Linked DNA regions of Pelodiscus sinensis. The protein of the gene in region 2 interacts with the protein of the main gene of each other region in a biochemical or structural test. Links are inferred from orthologs where the notes say so. Each region holds a gene or a part of one and is shown on either strand. Other genes may lie near its edges. The genes, in order: PGF and FLT1.

Evidence for each region.
Region 1: the proteins of FLT1 (region 2) and PGF are reported together in a solved structure, tested with the Homo sapiens proteins (2 studies listed by BioGRID and IntAct, with this or other methods). The link is inferred for Pelodiscus sinensis from reciprocal best matches to the Homo sapiens genes FLT1 and PGF.

What each region holds. Positions count from the first base shown.
Region 1 is NC_134714.1:44,146,923-44,156,454, reverse strand, and holds the start of PGF (placenta growth factor), read right to left. Parts: upstream 3,505-9,532; 5' UTR 3,026-3,504; coding exon 2,960-3,025; intron 509-2,959; coding exon 466-508; intron 1-465. UniProt on the Homo sapiens protein: Growth factor active in angiogenesis and endothelial cell growth, stimulating their proliferation and migration. It binds to the receptor FLT1/VEGFR-1. Isoform PlGF-2 binds NRP1/neuropilin-1 and NRP2/neuropilin-2 in a heparin-dependent manner.
Region 2 is NC_134711.1:299,711,572-299,720,656, reverse strand, and holds the start of FLT1 (vascular endothelial growth factor receptor 1), read right to left. Parts: upstream 4,224-9,085; 5' UTR 3,897-4,223; coding exon 3,830-3,896; intron 1-3,829. UniProt on the Homo sapiens protein: Tyrosine-protein kinase that acts as a cell-surface receptor for VEGFA, VEGFB and PGF, and plays an essential role in the development of embryonic vasculature, the regulation of angiogenesis, cell survival, cell migration, macrophage function, chemotaxis, and cancer cell invasion.

The DNA.
Region 1 (9,532 bases), on a different chromosome or scaffold from region 2:
CTAATTTACAAAACATTTTGGTCAAAAATAAATTTCACCTAAAGAATTCTGCTCAGTTCTGATCCTGCTCTTTCCCAGAAAAGGGGCTGCCCTGTTGGCACTCATCAGTTCTGAAGAAGGCTGGATAAGCATCTTCCCAGAGTGCAGTAGTGTGGGTGTCTTGGGGAACTAACTTCTTGGGGGGGGTCAGAGGAGCCATTTTCCCCAATACATTTTCTATGTGTACTCCTCTGTCTCCCCCCAATGACTTATGATAGTCCCAATCTGATTCCCCATAGGCCATGTTTTATCACCTACCTCTGAAGCCTGCCGCCCCTTCCCTGGGGTCTGTCTCCTCCTCTGGGATTAGTGGACATGAGGGGATCCCCAGGCTCCCCGGGCAGGGAGAAGAAGAGAGAGAATTCCAGAGCCCACCGGAGATCTAATATTCTCACATACAGCCAGGAGAACCAGCTACAGACTCACCTTGCGCTTCTGAGGTAATATTTCTGCTGAATCTGTCCCACTGCTGGGAGAGAAATGCAGAGACATTTAGAAAGAGGCAGTGGGGAATAAGCAAAGTGCAGCAAACCCCCACCCATTCTCACCTATCTGCATGCATCATTCACCCACCTATCCATCCACTGTACTTGGCCCTTCCAGCTCAGATCTGTTGTGGAGCATTTGGAGGTATACATGGAGAAGCAGGAAGACAACTGAGCTAATAAATAATAATGATAATAAATAGCATAGAATTATAGGCCTAGAGGGGACCTCATCCAGTCCAATCCGCAGCACTCATGGCAGGAGTGAGTGTTATCTAGCATGTTTATAGCTGTTGTGGATCCGCAAGAGATTGTTTCACTCACCACTTAATGTGGTGACCTTTGAAGTATAATGTGGCAGCTGTATAAGAGCGGCCATTGGTGAAGTTAATTTTAAAACTACTGTAGATTGAGTGCAACACAACAGGGACCGACTCTGCCCTGGCTCCCAGGAGATGGGCTAGGTGGGACATTATTCACTAAACAACAGCTAAGGAGGTTGTGGGAAGGTGAAGACTTTGTGTAACTTCAAACTGCAGGAGGCAGAAGAAACCCAGGCTGACATCTCAGCTCCTATCCAACATGCCATGGGATCCAATAACCACACACGGTCAGCATGTCAGTTTACCTCTCATCCATATAACACCTACCACCCTACCCCCAGTCCTGCCAGGCTGGGGCCTAGGGTCAATACTGGATTAAAATGGAGCCCAACACTGCAAGGAAAGAACTCCCCCTACTGAGTCCCCAGCACTCCTCCTCCCTTTCCTGAGCTAGTTGAGTGTCTCAATACCCCAATCATCATGATGCCAGGGATGTAAAAACTGCCTAAAATAGTTAACTGGTTAAACAGCATGTTTAACTGGTTAACCACTGATCACAGACAGCAAAGGCTGCTCCAGCCCCATGGGCTGGGGGCTGCTCTGTCCCCTCAGGTCTGTCGCAGTCAGGGTCCTGCTGGCCGGGCTGCTCCTGCTAGCTGAGCCCTTTGATTAACCAGTAAGTATGCTTATGCTAATGCTTACAGGGTAACCAGGTAACCATTTAACCTTTTACATCCCTACATGATGCTGTCTGAGCCCCATCTGATTCCCTTCTGCCAGCTCACAGCATGTTGTCATCTGCCCTTCTGGACTCATTCAGGGGCCAGGTATATCTGGGATGTGCCATGCGTATCTGGGATGCTGTATAAATCCGAATTCCTCCAAGCCATGCTCTGGGTTTCCTTTGCAGGGGGAGGAGGGGCTTTGCCATCTAAATGCTGACCAAGGCTGCCCCACTGTGATGGACGGGTAGCACAAAGTGGGCTGGCTGCAGCAGGTATGAGTAGCCCAGATCAGCTGACAGACACTTAGCAGAAGCAAATCACAGGGGTATCAGCTGGGATGGACTTTTCCTCAATGGCAAATGTTTGAAACCAAAAATCAAAGCAAATTAATATATGCTTAAAAAGAGGAAATACCTCCCCTCATCTCCTGGGCTGGGCTGGGCTTCCTCCCACCCCTGGGTACTCAATCAATTACTTAGACTTTCTCAGAGAAGCTGTACAAGGGAGGGGCACTGTTAAGACCTCATTTGCTGGAGAGCAGATGGTGTTCTTGCATCAGGCCACATCCCTGCTTCAGTGCAGTAATGCTCTGCTGCCTTGCTGGTCACAGCACATGCCCTGGGACTCAGCATCCATGGGATATGTGGCTCTGGTAGGGGGGGTCTGGGAAGATGAGTCTCCCACTTGTCTTTCAGCAGATAGGAAACTCTCTGCTGTTGTTCCTGGGAGCAGAGGGCTCTTCCATGGGATTTGCCAGGTGTAGGAGGGTACCTGGGGCTCAGAGTTCACCCGGCTGCTTTGACACCTGTCCCGCACCATGGGACTGCTCTCCTGGGCGAACGGCTCACAGTCTTCTCCAGACACTTTCAGCTGAAGAGCAGTCGCTGGACTGTCTGCAAGCTGCAGACCCATTGCAGCTTTCCTACAATATTGGCACTTCCCCTCTTCTCACAGGATGTAACCTGGGAGTTTATTTTTCCTGGACATAAGATGGAGCCAGCCTTATCATCAGAGAGCATCTGAGATACTGATCTTCTACCCCCTCCCCCCCAGTTGTCGGCCAGCCCAGCAGGATCTCAGTCAGCCTCCTCTTCTTGTGCAAAGGGAGGTCCCAAGGAACAAGGGGTCACTCACAACTCAGAGACTGGGGAGGGTTAGTAGTGGGACAACCCGAGAACAGCTCCTCAGACTGATCTCCACTCTGCAACTGTCCTGCCAAGTACACTACAGGGGCCATTCCTCAGCAGTTCTCTAGTCCCACAGTGATGCAAGAGGGTAACGGGGCTTGGGACCATTACACCAGGATCCCTGAGGACTTTCCCACGGCTAGTGCCCTCTCTGTTCCCCCAGACCCATTATGGGGGTGCAAGAAGCTGCGGTCCCTCACCTGAGCGGGTGGTGCCTGCAGCGCGAGAGCCACAAGAAGTCTCAAGAAGCTGCCGAGAAGCTGCATCACTGGTTCTGCCTCCTCAGTTTTGCCCAAGTGAAGAGTCCCGTGGCCCAGCTAACACAAACATGCTGCCCCGCGGGAGATTCCAGTGCGGGGGGACGGCGGAGCGACCCCCTGGCTGTGGCGCTCCCAGGAGCTGGTCACAATCCAGGACCCGAGCGTCCCCAGCACAGCACCCGTGGATCCAATGACAGCAGCTTAGCCCTGGGAGAGGCTGTGTCCTGCAGGCGATGCTGGCCCGTCGCCAGGAGATGGGAGGACAGCGCTACAGAGCCCCGAGTAGCATGGGTCTTGGGGACAAGGGGCGCAGATCGCCGAGGTGCTCGTCCTGGGACACTGACACCACCTCTGCCCCGCTCAATCGCCGCACCCAAGCCCCCTCCTGCTCCTGCACTGGCGCCCCCCTGCACCCAGCAGCTGCTCTCCAGCCATGTGAATGCTGCCCTGCCGGCTCCGCAGCTCTGTTTCATGAGCAGCAGGCTCCGCCCAAGCCCCTCCCCACCTCACACCCTCACTCCCACTTTCTCTTCCTCCGAGACCGCACAAAGCGGCGCTGCATCCTCCGGACTTCCGAGCCCCGCAGACTCCAGCTGTCCGCCTGCTTCCTCTGGTTGTGCATCCGCGGCCCCGCGTGCCCCGGCGGGGCTCTGGGTGCTCACCCACAGGTGCGCGCGCGTCACTGGGCAGGGGCTGCTGCGAGTGCTGCAGGCGCGCGCAGCTGTGGCTGTGAGCGATGTCGTGGGTTCAGGCAGCTGGGAGCGAGCGCCCGGGCAGGGGTGCCCGGGGGAAGTGAGGCTGTTCTCTCCTAACCCCCCCCCCACCCCCCGCACGTGCAATGGGAGAGTCAATGGGGGTTTTAGGCCCTACAACCACATCGCTTGAGACCCTTCAAATATGACCGGACCTTGGCCAATAGAGTGTAGAAAATGATCTGCCCTGGATCTCCAGTGAGGGAATAGACAGGAGCCAACAGAGCGCTTTAATCTCTAACCCCTATAACTCTCAGCTTCATTCTGTGTAATGTGTGTGCCTGGTTCTCCCTTCCCCACCCTCGCTGGCTCTCCTGCGCTTTTATATTATACTGATGTTGAGAACTCAAGTTCAGGCTGAACCTTATCCCGGCTTCTCCTGGGGGTTAGGCCTTTCTATAGGCTTTCCCTTGAACTAGTTCTCTTAATAAGCATTTGTTCTGTGGCAGTGCCTGGAGGCCTCCATTGGGGCCACGAAGTGCACAGTGCTGTACATAGAGACATGGACATGGTCCTTGCCCTGAGAACTCACAATATAAAGAATCATTTCTCTATTAATCCCTATGAAATACACTGCCGACTGGAATGTTGCAGACCCTGGACTGTGGTATTGGACACGGTGATTTTTATGTTTATTTAAATCTGAGACAGTTGACACATGGGTGAGTGGATTTAATGGTAACAATTGACCCTTCATGACAGCTGCCAAGTTAAACCTGTCTGGTACGGGAGCTCAGAGAAAGCTGAGGAAGGACGCCAACCTTGGGCTGTTGAGCTGCCCCAGGGACCAGAGGCACAGATTCCTCTTTTCTCTGATTTTTAAGAGACAGTTGGAGTTGATAAAGCTAATTTAAGATGCGCCTTGCAGAACTGCTGCCTTTGTACTCTGCATGCATCAGCCCAGAGCCATAACATGTTGTGCTGAGGAGCCAACTACTTTGCTTCAGCTAGAAGAAAAATAAGAGTATTCTGATTTCTTAGAGGTGCCTGGTTGTCTGTGTTAGTCAAGAGGGCATGATCTACAGAGACATGGAGAGCTAACATCCTATGGCTGAAACCTTCTCCACGTCCCAAAATGCCAATATCCAACCTCCCTCCTTCATACTTCCTTCCTCCACATGGCTCAGGAAGGCCCTGTTAGTACAAACTGCTACCATAAGTGTTTAAAAAAACTCCAGGTTAGCATCATCCACTGGCTCTGCCAGTGCATCTGGTTATGGCTATTTATTTTTGTATATCCCATGGGGCAGGGATTCTGGCATCTACAGAGTCTTGAATGCAGTCAGCACTTAATAAATAACAAGAATCTACTCTTTTAGATAGCTGTACAAGCCAGCTGTCCCCATCCCCAAGAACCCCTCCCCACATAACTCAAGTGTATAAAATGGGACAGTGCTGCTCACTGCAAAATATGCGAAGGCAGACTCATCACAGCTATAGTACAATGAGGGGACTGTCGCTCAAATTGTATTTTCTTGCAAGAACTCCAACATTTACACTTCCTTTGGGCTTCCCAGCCTGCTTGCCAATGGTTTTCAGTTGGTTCAAAACCAAGCATCAAATTGGGGAGAAGGGGAATAGCAGTACTCTGCCATGTTCTGCCCACAATAAACTCCACCTGTCAAGCAGAGATACTGAGCCCAGTATTCTGCAACTCAGGCACATATTACTGCACTGCTGTGCACATGGGTCACATTTTCAAGGACTTCTCTGCAGGCATAACAGCTTCCAAGTTACTTTTGCTTATTACTCTTTCTTGAGAATGGAAGAACAAGAAAGGCACTTGGAAGCAGTGTGTCAATATGCTACACTGCTGCTCACCAGCTCAATCCTAGGTCAGGGCTGAGACCTGAGATGCCTGTACTTCTAATTGCTTTTCATATAATCCCACCTATGCTAACACTTTCTTGCAAGAGGGTTTTCAATGTCTTTTTAAATCTAAGTTTGTTATCCTACTATTTAAGCGCTTTTATATATACAAACTTCTACTGAAACAACAAAAGGTGTGAATTAAATCCAGTGTAGTTATTTTGGTGCAGACTTGCAAAGAGATCCGTCTGAGGGCTCTTTGCACCCTGGTACCATACCACCAATCCACTCTGAAGCTTTTCTGTTCTTGCCAGATCAGCTGCCTTCTGAAGAGAAAAGCCCCAAAGAGTTTCAAACTCTAGTCGCTGGCAATGTATTGTGACAGTCTCATTTTGCTTTTTAACACACTGGAGAGTGAAATCTCCTGAGCGAGGAAGTGGTGGCTGTTAGGCTGAGTCAGGGCTACAGATAGAAGAGCGTGGGAAATTAACTCTCTGGTAATCAGAAATAACAATCCCTGACAACACGAGGAGCCAAACTCTGTTGTCAGTGTGCTGGTGTGAAGGAATAACCAGGACAGTTATGTTCTCTCTCTAACCCAGGGAGTCTTGGCAAAGCTGCAGTTCTGGTGGGTAGGGCAGATTTGGGCACCTGAAGGTAGCATGATCCAAAATGGGACACTAGTAACAGCTCTGCACAGTGGGATTCATGTCAGGGTTCAGAATTCTCTTGTCCTCCCAGGAAATAGACATGGCCCCCCAGTGTGGCAACTAAGGCTTCCCATGACAGGGGAGATTAAATCCTTATCCTCCTGAGTCTTTGCACAAGGGAGCAAACACGATCCACTTATGCTCTGAGAGGAGCAAGAGGCCCCTGTGATGAGCTGGAATTCCTCAGTGCTGAGCTGCATCTGGCTGCTTTGTGGGCTCATGTTCCCAGGGTGTGTGCACCAGGCGCTGGAATGCGGCTCCAGCAGACACGCATTCTTGTCAATAACAGACCAGGGCAGAGCCTGCTTCTCTGTCTGTTCCATCTCAGCCTTCCCAAGATTGAGGGACAAACCAGGAAAGCACTTCCCAGCCCAAGCCTCCACCTTCACAAGGACATGAGGGAGGTGGTGATGAGGAATCATTTGTCAGCAACCCAGCAAGGCTTACATGTTGTCTGAACCCATCCAACATATCCCTGCTGAGCTCATGGACATGACAAGCCATCCCATTTCTGGTGTCACAGCCCTAGTCAAGCTCCCCTTTCTGAACACTCACCAAGGCTGTTGTGTTTGGATCCCAACACACTGGGCCCATTGCACTTTAAGCCCTTTGGTCTTTGGCCTCTCTGGCACACTTCCCAGGCACAGCTTGTCTGTTACATCTTCATAGAGACAGCAGCTCACCACACAGCTGCCCTAGGACCCAAGATCAGTGCTAACCACCTCCAAGACTGCCTGATAGCTTAGGGACATCTTTGTCCAGAGCTCCAACCCCATGATTCAGTAGTGGGCAACCGGAGGCCTACTCGGGTTCTGTGTGTGGCTTGTGAGGCATTTTGTTTACTGTTGCCCATGTGCCGGGTTGCCAGAGTCCACTGGTTTCCAGCCACGTAGTTTTCTTCCTCCTGGTATTACTAAAACAACATGCACTTACAGAAAGGGTACCTGAGGTGAAGTGTATGCTCATTGCAACAACACTGACTGTGAGAGCTGTGCACTCCCTCTGCATCCAATCAAAGCCTTGCTAGGTTCAATTGCCATACCTTGCAAATTCTAGGACTCAAGCACAGTGAGCAAAACTACTCTACCTTGGGAACCCATTTTGGTTATATCAATCTCGCAGCCCACTGAGGTGAAGGAGGGCGACTCATGTGGCCCACTCGCAAGCCTAAGCTGCACCAGACTAACACGGCTACATTTCTACCACATCACTGCGTATAGGCACTTGAGTTACAGTCCAACTCCAGAGGAGTACGTGATTGCCGAAGCCCATAATACAGGGGGTTTGTAAAAGTTTCTAACACAATCACATTAGTGAGCCCAAGAGAGATACAGACTGAGGTAAAAATAACACCACATCTACATGCTGTTCCCTGCCTCAGCTTCCTTACCCCTTGGGAGTGTTCTTTGGGATTTGGTTGGACTCCAGGATTCCCTTCCTGCACATGCCTCTCCTTCAAATCACAGAATGTTTCTTCGCTGCAAGTAGCTTTCTTCTTCACCAGCTGGCCCCAGGGCAGGCATGATTATTTGCAGGGCTTAGTTAGAATAGGATGGTGGGGCCTGGGCCACCAATAGCTTCACAGTGGACCGGGGACTCTGGCTCTGCCCAGGTGGGGCTGCAGCAGCTGCTCTCTCAGCAGCATGAAGAGCTCCTGGGCTGACAGCATGAGGAGCCAGATCGCCAGAGGCACTGGCATCCAAAACAGGCTCCTCCTCTTCTCCCGCAGACCCCACTGGGCGGGGGGGGGGGGGGGGGGGGCTACCACTGCCATGCACAGTCTACTGCTTCAGGCAGTGCCTCAGGTAGGACATGCCACCCAGGCAGGTGGGACCAATAATAAAGCACGGGGCCACATGCAGGGGGGACTGACTGCACATGCCTCACACCAGCCATGGCTGGCCCCACAGTCAAAAAGGAGCTCTCTGCTATAAAAGTATGCCAGCCCCTTCATTCTCTCCCCTGCCTGAAACTTCTTGTCTTTATATCAGCACTCCCTTGATAAACTTGGTTAAACAGGTTTTCCAGCTCAGGAACCCTCCTCAGCATACCTCTGATATGATGCCTGCACAGTCATTAAGGTTAATGACTTATTTTGTTTGGATTGTAGCTTCTCCCAGACAGGGTGAGGGAAAGAGTCGGGGAATCTCAACAGCCCATGGCTGACTCACTGAGGAATTCAATGATGCAGCAATTTCATAAAATGCACCAGAATTCATCAGCCGGATAATGGATTCCCCAAATTATCACAATGGGGAAAGAAGAAAGAACATTAAAAAGCCAACACAGGCTGGATGGGCAGGTGCCCTTAGGCCTTGTCACAATGCAAGAACATCATGGCACTCCACAACAGCAGAGCTCAGCCCCCACGACTTGGCCACATACTGCATGCACTCCCTAATGCCCCACAGATTGGCTGGCACTGCATGCACTCCCTAATGCCCCACAGACTGGCTGGCACAAATCATTGGGAATGGGAAATTGAGCCATCCACTGCTAAGGCAAGAGACATTCAAGGCTCAGGAGAAAGACAGTAGGACACAAAGAAAAGAGGAACATTTCCCCAGATGCAGGGTGATTCCTATAGAGCAAAATCTGCCCAGTGTCTAACAAATATTACCACTGTACCTGGGGATGTAGGCAGCTTGAGATCTCCCATCCTCCCCACAGCCCCTTTGTTTGCTATTGCTCCAGCTTGCTCTGGTGAAATCAAGCTACATAGTTCATAGGGAGCATTCCCATTCCATTGGCATGCTCCTGGGCAGGAGGCAGACCCTACAGAGAGGCTTACCTCATAGTATATCAGAATGTCTGTAAAAGGAAGCACAAAGGAAAACAGCCCATTGCAGGTGTCCCTGTTTATTATTGTTATGCTGGCAGATGTTCACAGCAGCCATCAAGCAAGTTTTGATTGCTAGACAATCACAGACCTAAGCTTCATTCTGGCTAAATGGAAGGAGTAAGTAAAAGCCCTTTTACACAGTGATAGTTAAAACAATAAAACCCACCACCCAAGTTGGCTTATGGTAATACTTGAGCAAGATCTAGCCTCTGGAGAATAAGAGGTTTCCCTGGGGCTGATTGGTTCCAGCTGTGTGAGACTTGGATTTCTGAGCAAGGAAACTACCAGCTGTTGATTGTTTCCACTATGGTCAGGAAAGCAAGATTTTGTGTAGTCTTTGCAAATAAACAGGATTGCACCAAAGAAATAACAGACTTAGCATCAATTTCTCCTCATAACA
Region 2 (9,085 bases):
ATTGTATAACATCTAATACAATGGGGCCTGACCATAGCTGTCACAGCAGTACAAGGGATGACAAAAATTAACGTGTAAAGGTGACTAGCCTTTGAAGCTATCTCATCTATTATTTCTCTTTTCACTTAGTGCTCAGTCTTGGCCCCAACAGGCCTCTCAACAGGACAAAGGTGCAAATTTAGGAAGGCTATTGTTTTTGCTGACTGTGGCTTTCACTCTGAACTATCATTTAAAAATGAAGAAATTTATTCATTATCCGATCTGTTTGTTGGAAGGCTCTCTGAGTGTATATGTACAACGTAGTGTGACCACACACACACACACACACACACACACCTATTAGTAAGGGGTTTAGGCCCAGTACTGCTGCCGTGACTCAGGCAAAATCCTCTTGCAGTCCTCAAGAGACAAGGACTGAAGAATCTAGCTCTTCACTCCTGTAAAAATGTGTAAAGAATCCTTTAGCCCTTGCGCAACCATGCCCTAATTTATTTAAATTGTGCAGGATTAGACCATAATATGGCATGAAAGGTTTAATTTCTACCATTTGGTAAACGTGCTTAGCAAATGCTACTGGATGGATATAAACAAATGATCACGCATATATGCAAACATAAAAAACAAACTAACATGCTCTGCTGTGACATGGGAGAGAAGCCAACATTGTAGTGGCAGGTGAATATCTCTGAATGCAAAGATCTCCTAAAGCTCGGACTGACAATTACAAGAAAATAAATATTATTTCTTCAATCTAATTTCCAAAGAGACACATAGCTAATGTGTTAGCATAGGAAACTTTAAATGACTGAAAACACATGTACTAATTCAAATACCATTTCCTCTTCTCTTTCCTAATGACTCCCTATCACAAATAATTGCTAAACCAACTCCTCCTAACAGTCTGGTCCAACTTACTGTCTTCTAAACGAGAGCAGAGCTTCTCCCCTCCGATGCTTCAATGAGTGAGAGGATGTAAGTAGATTAGCCATACAGGGTATGTCTACCCAGCATTTTGGATGGCAGAGGCCAGGCTGGCAGACTGTGCTGGGGGCTGATGCCGACAATCTAAAAATAACTATATAATGGGCACTCTGAAGTCTCTGACTAGCGCTTGGGTTCTGAAGTCTGCAGAGTGGCCTGTGTTGACCGCCCAAGCACCACCCTGAGTTGCACACCAACGCAACCTCTCTACAGCTATTTTTTTAGTGTTCCTGCAAGCCTTGATCTGATTTGAAGCTGTGTTTCTTACATCAGTGCCCTAGCCACAGATCTAGAGTCAGATCCTCTTGCCTTATCTATGCAAAGTGGAACAGCTTCCATGGGAGCCATTGACAGTCCCCACCTTCAAACACTCAATAGCCTGGTAATTAGGGCTCTCACTGCAGGTATGGCAGAGCAGGGCTTTAATTTATGTCCCCTACCTGCCACGTGAGTGCCCTGACCATTAGGCTATTGGCTATGCCAGGGGCGTACCCTCTCTCATGCACTTTTCCATGAGAAAGGTCTCCATTTCCTCCCATTGCAGAATGGGGAAATGTTTTGATAGTTGAAAAATGTTCATGCAATGGGAAAACCATTTCCTTCCCAGATCTGCTTCTGGTGATGGGAGTAAGAGTCTATGGAGAATCAATGCATTAACTTTAACAAGTAATTCCTCACCACCCAATCCTCCATTCCACACCCCTTCCTGCTCTTTTAGTATTCAGGGCCTGATCCTGCTCAAAATTGAAGTCATGGAGAGTTTTGCTATGGACTTCAAAGGAGCATGGTCTTCCCTTCTGGGAGATCTACTACACAGCAAGTGACAGAATAGGAGACTTTGTAGGATAGATAATGACCATATACTGTAGTTAGTGTGTTGGCATACATGCCCCATCACCAGTTTCCCATCCCAACTGAAAATCACTAGCAGGATTTGACCCCACTGCCTCTAATTGTATATATGCAGACAGAGCTGTATTCTCAATGCTTTTCAAGTCAAAATCTGTCAATGAAACAATACAATATTTTGGGACTGTTTTACTCACATGCACAAATTATTTCTATTACTGCCAGGACTTTATGAAATCAGCACAGCCTTTATAACTGTACTGGGCATCAGCTATTCAGGCAGGATTTAATAGAAACCAGAAGGTAGAATAGTTTGCCGGAAAATGTAACACTTAACTGGCTCTGTAATCTTCCTTACAAATAATTTATAGCACATCATGCAACAGAATAATTTGATTACGCTCATGTAAAAATATTTGCTACTTACTTAGAAACTCTGATTCAACCTGCCCCTTAGCATAGTCATCACATTGAACAAAATGTAGTTGTCTCTCTGAGGCTAATCTCAATTAGCAATTTTCCTCTGTTGCAGACTTTACATTTGCTTTCCATTATGTGGCAAATCCATACCTGGCTTCAGTATGGTTACACCAGGTCTATATTTGGCCCTGTTTCCACATGCATTTTAGTATTTTCTCACACTTGAACAAGAGCTCTCCTTCTGCCTGGTTCAACTCCCGTGAATCTTCAAACAGCTTTACCTCTCATCTGGAAAGCTCTGTTCCAGCACCAAGAAAAGCAAGCATGCCACTGCAAAAATCCATAACCTTGTGCGCCCCAGCAAATTAGAACTTCGCCCTGCTGGCCCGACTGGTTTGAATGCTCCGAACTGTACCATCAAAACAGACCATGCACATTGCTTAACCAGACAAACCCAGGCTCCAATACTTTTACCGGATCCAGGGAATATGGGCCACAGGTCTCTACATTCTGTTGAGGAAATGGAAACCAAGCGACGTCCTTGCTAAAATACCTGGTCCCTGATACATCCCGGCACACAAGCCCTGGTAACATCCACACATGGACCGGGAGCCACCATGCTATGGCCAATTTTTTTTTCACCTAGATCCGCAATATTTTACTCTCTCTAGAGACAAAGTATAGCTTGAATGAGATAAATCTGTGTCCCGAGCTCTGCTTTGATAGATCTCTGTCCTGGCGGTGCTATTTACCACGCATACTTCAGGATCTGGATCTTAGCAGTGGGATCGGGGCTGGCGCTCTTCTTTCTGGTAGAATTTAAGGCTTTGAGATTTAAAACCCAGCCGCATCTAGGTGCGCACAGGGCTGGATTTTCGGGGTCGCTAATAGTTGCTACATTTTTTCCCCCTTTAAAAATAGGATTTTGCGGAAATAGGATTAAAATGGTCACGACTGAAGTACTCATTGTGCCTCCCACACTGGTCAGATTGATGTTGGACCAGGATGTATCAGAGTCCAGATTGCTCCAGGGAAGTGCGACTACCGCGAGTGTCTGTTTCGATCGTACAATTTACATCCAGTTTTTCCAACATCTTGCGGGAGCCCCGGGCTGAAACCGGGCCCGGGATGCTGCCTGTAGCAAGGAGGGAACCGCTAGCCTTGCTCTTTACATTTCGATGCTACAAGTTGTGGGTTTGGAGCCACAGCGCGGCAGGATCCAGCTTCTCCCCAGCGTTTCACAATGTCTGCCCAGGAGAGTTAGACGGGGCAGCTCCGAGGGGGACCACGGGAACCTGCTTACAGGATAATAGGGGCAGCGCCCCGTTTGGGAGCAAAGCAGCCTCCAGCTGGGAACAGGGGGAGGCAGCGGGGGCCCTGTGGGGAGAGGAGAAATGCCGTCCGGGTGGGACCCCAGCTCCCGTCCCCCTGCGGGTCAGACTCCCCCAGGCACTGCCCGGGATTTGGAGGTGTCTCTCTGGGGCGCAGAGCCTCGCGCAGCCGGCTGTCCCATGGATCATTTAACTTCGACCGTCCTCCTCCCTTCATCCTTCCCCCCGCAGGGGAACGGGCCACTCACCTGCGAAAAGGAGAGCGGGTGCCAGCAGCCCGCACAGCATGGCCCCTGCGAGCGCCCGGCTGCCCATGGTCCTGCCCGGGAGGTGCGCGCAGGGTGGAGAGCTTTGCCCGAGCCTGCTCGGAGAGAGGACGCGGCTCGAGGACACCCAGCAGAGGGGCTGCTGCTCCGGCAGCCGGCCCGGACTCGCTTTCCCCACGGGGGATAAGCTAGTTGGGCAGCAGGTCCCGGGGAGAGATCACCATCCAGCAGCCCCTAGCCCCGGGCAGCGCTGCGCTCCGCTCCGTAAGGGCGCTTCCAGCTGCGCGCTTAAACTCCCGTGGACATCCCTTCGCAGGGAGCTGCCCGCCGCCCGGCTGATTTATAACCTCCACATCCTCCCGGCGGATCACGCCCTCCTCTCTGCGTCACCGGGTCCCCCTCCCCTCCGGAGCCCCCGGCCCCTCCGGCCCCCTGCCGTGCCCTGCTGCCTGCGCAGGAGTGCGGCTGGAGCCAGCGCCCACTTCCCGGCCCCTCCGTGCCCACGCTGCGCTGCCCCCCAGCCCGCCGCCCCCCGTCACTCCCACAGCGCTGCAGTCCCATCGCACCGCGTCCTCCGCCTGCGCTCCCGGCCCCAGCGAGGCTGGGATACACGTGTGTCCTAGTGCTAGTGCATCTGCCCTGCCCTGGCTCTGTTACCCCCCCCCCCCCCCCATCAGCCTGAGTCCGGCTGGGCAGCGCCTCTCCATCGCCGCCAGCCCCACAGCGCGGGGCCCGGCTCCCCCTGCCAGCGCCTCCCCTGGGCACCGGGGGACGGGAGCCGCTGGCTGCAGGCAGATCGCGGGCCCTGCATTGCCTCGGGACCTTCCCGCTAGCGGCTCCCGGGCGGCCCCGGTAAAGTACCGCGGGCTGAGCGCAGCGCGGACGTCCACCTCTGGGCAGTGGCTTCACGCCCTGCAGCTCAGCAAGCGGGGCGCTCGGTGCCGAGCGCTTCTCCCCGCGGGGCTCGCCGAGCTGGGGCGGCCTCCGCACGGCTGCTCACACTGGAGATGCTCCGGGCGACCGGCCCGCTCTCCTTGGGTTGCTCTTTGCTGGCTCCGGGAAAGCCGCAGGGTCTGCCTGCCCGGCGAGGAGCGCAGTGCTCTTGTCACTGGCAGGAACGCCACCGTATTAAGTTCCCTCTCGGCCTCCGCGGGGCGGGTGGGTGCTAAGGACCCCCAGGTCACAGCACGAGCAATCGGAGGCACCAGACCTGAGGCACCTCGTCCAAAGTCACGGGCAGCTCGTGACAATGCCTGCATCCCCTTGGCCCAAGAAGTAAGCCCCTGGTTTCAAATGGGTAGTTTTATCTTTCAACTTTGAAAGTAGTAGAGCAGAGTATCTGTGTGAACTCCCGAAACAGGACTGTGATTTGATCCTGTACTTTCAATACTGTGACCAGAAATAAAAATATGTCTCTATAGAAGCTTCCACCCATGAACCACTGGAAAGGCTGGCTGCTTTTCCAGTCAGAAATTACTCCTGATACTACTGCTCCCAGGAATAGAGAGGGAAGAGCAGCAGCAGGAGACCCAGAAGGAAATTCGTACACTAAGTACCCTGAGGCCTCTCAACACAGACCACAGAAGCAGGGCAGGATAGGTTCCTCCTGGTAGGGGACCTCCAGGAAGAGACAGAGAGGAGAAACAGAAGCAGGATCAGAAGAATGCACCTTCGGAGCTCATTATATCTTCAAAAGTGGTCAGAAGGAGCCAGAAAAGGGGAGGAGGAAAAGGGGGTTGGATGCTGATGATGAAGGATTGAAATTATCCTGACAGGGAGATGAAAAGAACTAGACAATAGACACTTTTAGGGCTAAACTGCAGCTTTTTTTTTTCAATCCTTTTGTCAGAAGAGGCTTTTCTGACATTTGGCTTGTCTAGACTGGGCCAAATGTTAGGAAAAAACCCTCTTTCGGAAGCCCCCTTATTCCTAGTAGAACAAGGAATACAGGGACTTGCTAAAGAGCGCATTTGCTTTTCCGGAAAAAAAACAGAAGAGCAAATGCATCCCTAGATGCAGAAGAGTTTTCCAGGGATATCTTGGGTATCCTGGAAAACCTCTTGGAGTAGTCTAGCCATAAAGCAAAACTCTGGTCGCAAAACACAAGAGGAAGGATTAAATACTAACCACACACTTGTATGGCATGGGTTGGGCAGAAGGAGGCAAATCAGAGCACCGTTGAAAGGCACTTGAATACTGTGCACTATAGAGCAGCAGGGTGGTCTGTTTGTCCCTACTAAATTTTGTTTAATATTATGTACTATTCTTTCCCTATATTGTCTATTTAGATTATCAGTTCTGCACACTGCCCTTGTCTGTTTGTTTAGGCCCAGATTTGATGGGAGTGGTTGGGTGTTACTGGAATATAGATATTACATAATCAAGCCACAGACCTAGGGAAGAGTCAGTACCAAATATATATACACACCTGCTACTGGAAGGATTGGCAAGCCTGCGGAGAGGTGTACTTCCCTGACTATTTTGCACCAGAATGTTAGCCCCAGATATGGTATACAGACAGACATTTTTTGTCCTCACATGTTTTAAGGCCTGTCACATTCCCTTTGGCAATGAATTGTGGGATATTTATTTTCAAACTTTGGATAAAAAATATTACCAAATGCTAAAAAGAAAACCTGCCAAACATAATAGCTAAGACTAAAACCTCTACAAAATGTGACAAACATGTCTGCTGAAGGGCTGATGGGGACCAGTTGCTAAGTCTGTAGCTTTACAGATTTCTGGTGAGGAATTGGAAATGCCCGTAGGCAAATCAACTTGTTTTGTAATTGCAAAGGTTCACCAACTCAGTGACATTGTAGTTCCCCAAAAGTGGGTGTTAATGCTCTCGGTCCCCCTGCAGTTTTCACTCACTACTCTGTTTATTGCTCTTCCACTGATGACCAGTACCAAGTGCTATGAATGCCCTTGTTCTTGCTATGGAGTGAGCTGGCTTCTTCTGTAAGCTGTAAACAGCATGTAGAGTTGTTGTGCCAAGACCCAAGAACACTAAGCCTACACTATCCTACAGAGCATGCTATGTAGAAGATAAGCACAGTATGATAGCCACTGCTCCAGTGAGTAACCTAAATATTCCTGTATAGAATTGGGGCCTTTCAGAGCAGATTGTGCTGCAGGATGTTCAGTGTTGATGTTGATCTAACAGAAGAGAAGAAGAAATAATATATTAATTAATTAATTAATAGATTAATTAATTCTGAATTAATTCCAACTTTTTCCATGTCAGTTCTTTGTTAAAATTGTTCCCAGGTATCCCTCAAAACATTACCATGCTGAACAGTGCCTGCACTTTCAGCACTCGGACCATAAATGGATGGCGCTTGTGAAAGGGTGAGTCTTGTGTAGGCATTGGTGTTGGGGCAGAGTACAGCCAGAGGCAGATGTGTGATGTGGGGGTCCAATTGCCTGAAGTGTAGACAGATAAATTAACCTACCCATAGCACAAAGTCTTTGCCAACTTGTCCTGGATTAAAGTGCTCTGGGGTGACTTGGACTGCCCTACAGTCCATTACACCATTCCATCCAAGCTAGCACCATTAGGGTGCTCAACCTAGGGATGTGCTATTCATGCTCTAGTGATGCTCATACATGGTATATTGGGTTTTCATGAAAATGGAAAAGGGCTACACCATTCACTGTAAATAGAGGGATCTCACCCAGGAGATATGAATAGTTTAAAGTTGTCAACACATGCACACTGGATGGAGTAGATCACTCAGTATAGCTTCCCTGTTGGACGATACTTTGTTAGCAAAGACTGCAGCATATCCCAGCCTCAGTAAATATCCTGGGATATGGATATATGTGTTTGAAACTCCCTTGGACCTTTAAGAGAGGAGAAAACCACTTGAGGCAACACTCAGCCCACTGTAAAACCAAAATACATGGGAACATTTTAGCAGGAAATTCCTTTCTGGTTCCACTGGTGGTTGAAATCAATCACTTCACTGTGAGCAGTAACACAGGGCAGAGCACCTTCCCCAGAGATGACAATCCCCACTAGTGGGCATGCTAAAACAAGGAAACTATGCAATTATATATGGGAAGGGTGGAGAGGGAAATAATACGTTCACTCAGATGGAGAGAGTGTATGAAGGTCAGTACTATGAGAGGAAATTCCGTACTTGCTCTGCAACTAAAATTCCTGGCCACTGACATTATATGCCCCCATACTAATTGCTTGCCAATATGACAGGCAAGCCACCAGACTGAGGGCTCAGAGGGTTAGCAGTGGTTCCCACTAAGGTCAAAACTCCATTACTACCAAAAAATGACATGTATGTACAGCCACCAAACACAATGAGCTCCTGTTGCACCTCCCCCTCTCTATTCTGTCCACTTAGGCATTTATATCTTGCTTGTAACCAGTTGGATCATAAGAACATAAAAACGGCCATACTGGATCAGACCAAAGGTCCATCTAGACCAGTATGCTGTCTTCTGACAGTGACCAATGTCAAGTGCCCCAGAGGGAATAAACAGAACAGATAATCATCAAATGATCCATCCTTCATTGCTCATTCCCAGCTTCTGACAAACAGAGGCTAGGGACACTATTCGTGCCCATCCTGACTAATAGCCATTTATGGACTTATCCTCCATGAATGTATATAGTTCTTTTTTGAATCCAGTTAAAGACTTGGCCTTCACAATATACTCTGGCAAGGAGTTCCACAGGTTGACTGTGCATTGTGTGAAGAAATACTTCCTTTTGTTTGTTTTAAACCTGCTACCTATTAATTTAATTTGATGACCCCTAGCTTTTGTGTTATAGGAGTAAGTAAATAACTTCCTTATTTACTTTTTCCACACCAATCATGATTTTATAGATCTTTATCATATCCCCCTTAAGTCTTCTCTTTTCTCAGCTGAAAAGTTACAATCTTATTAATTTCTCTGCATCTGATAGCTGTTTCATACCTCTAATCATTTTTGTTCACTTTTCTAAACTTTTTCTAATACCCAAGATACCTTTTTAAGATGAGGCCACCACATCTGCACATGGTATTGAAGATGTGGGCATACCATGTATTTATATAGAGGCAATAAAATATTCTCTGTCTTATTCTCTATCCCTTGTTAATGATAACTATGGGTATGTCTACACTACAGCACTAATTAGAACTAACTTAGTTCAAATTAGTTAATTCGAACTAAGCTAATTCGAATTAGCACAGCTAGACCTAAAAACTAGTTCAAATTAGCGTTTTGCTAATT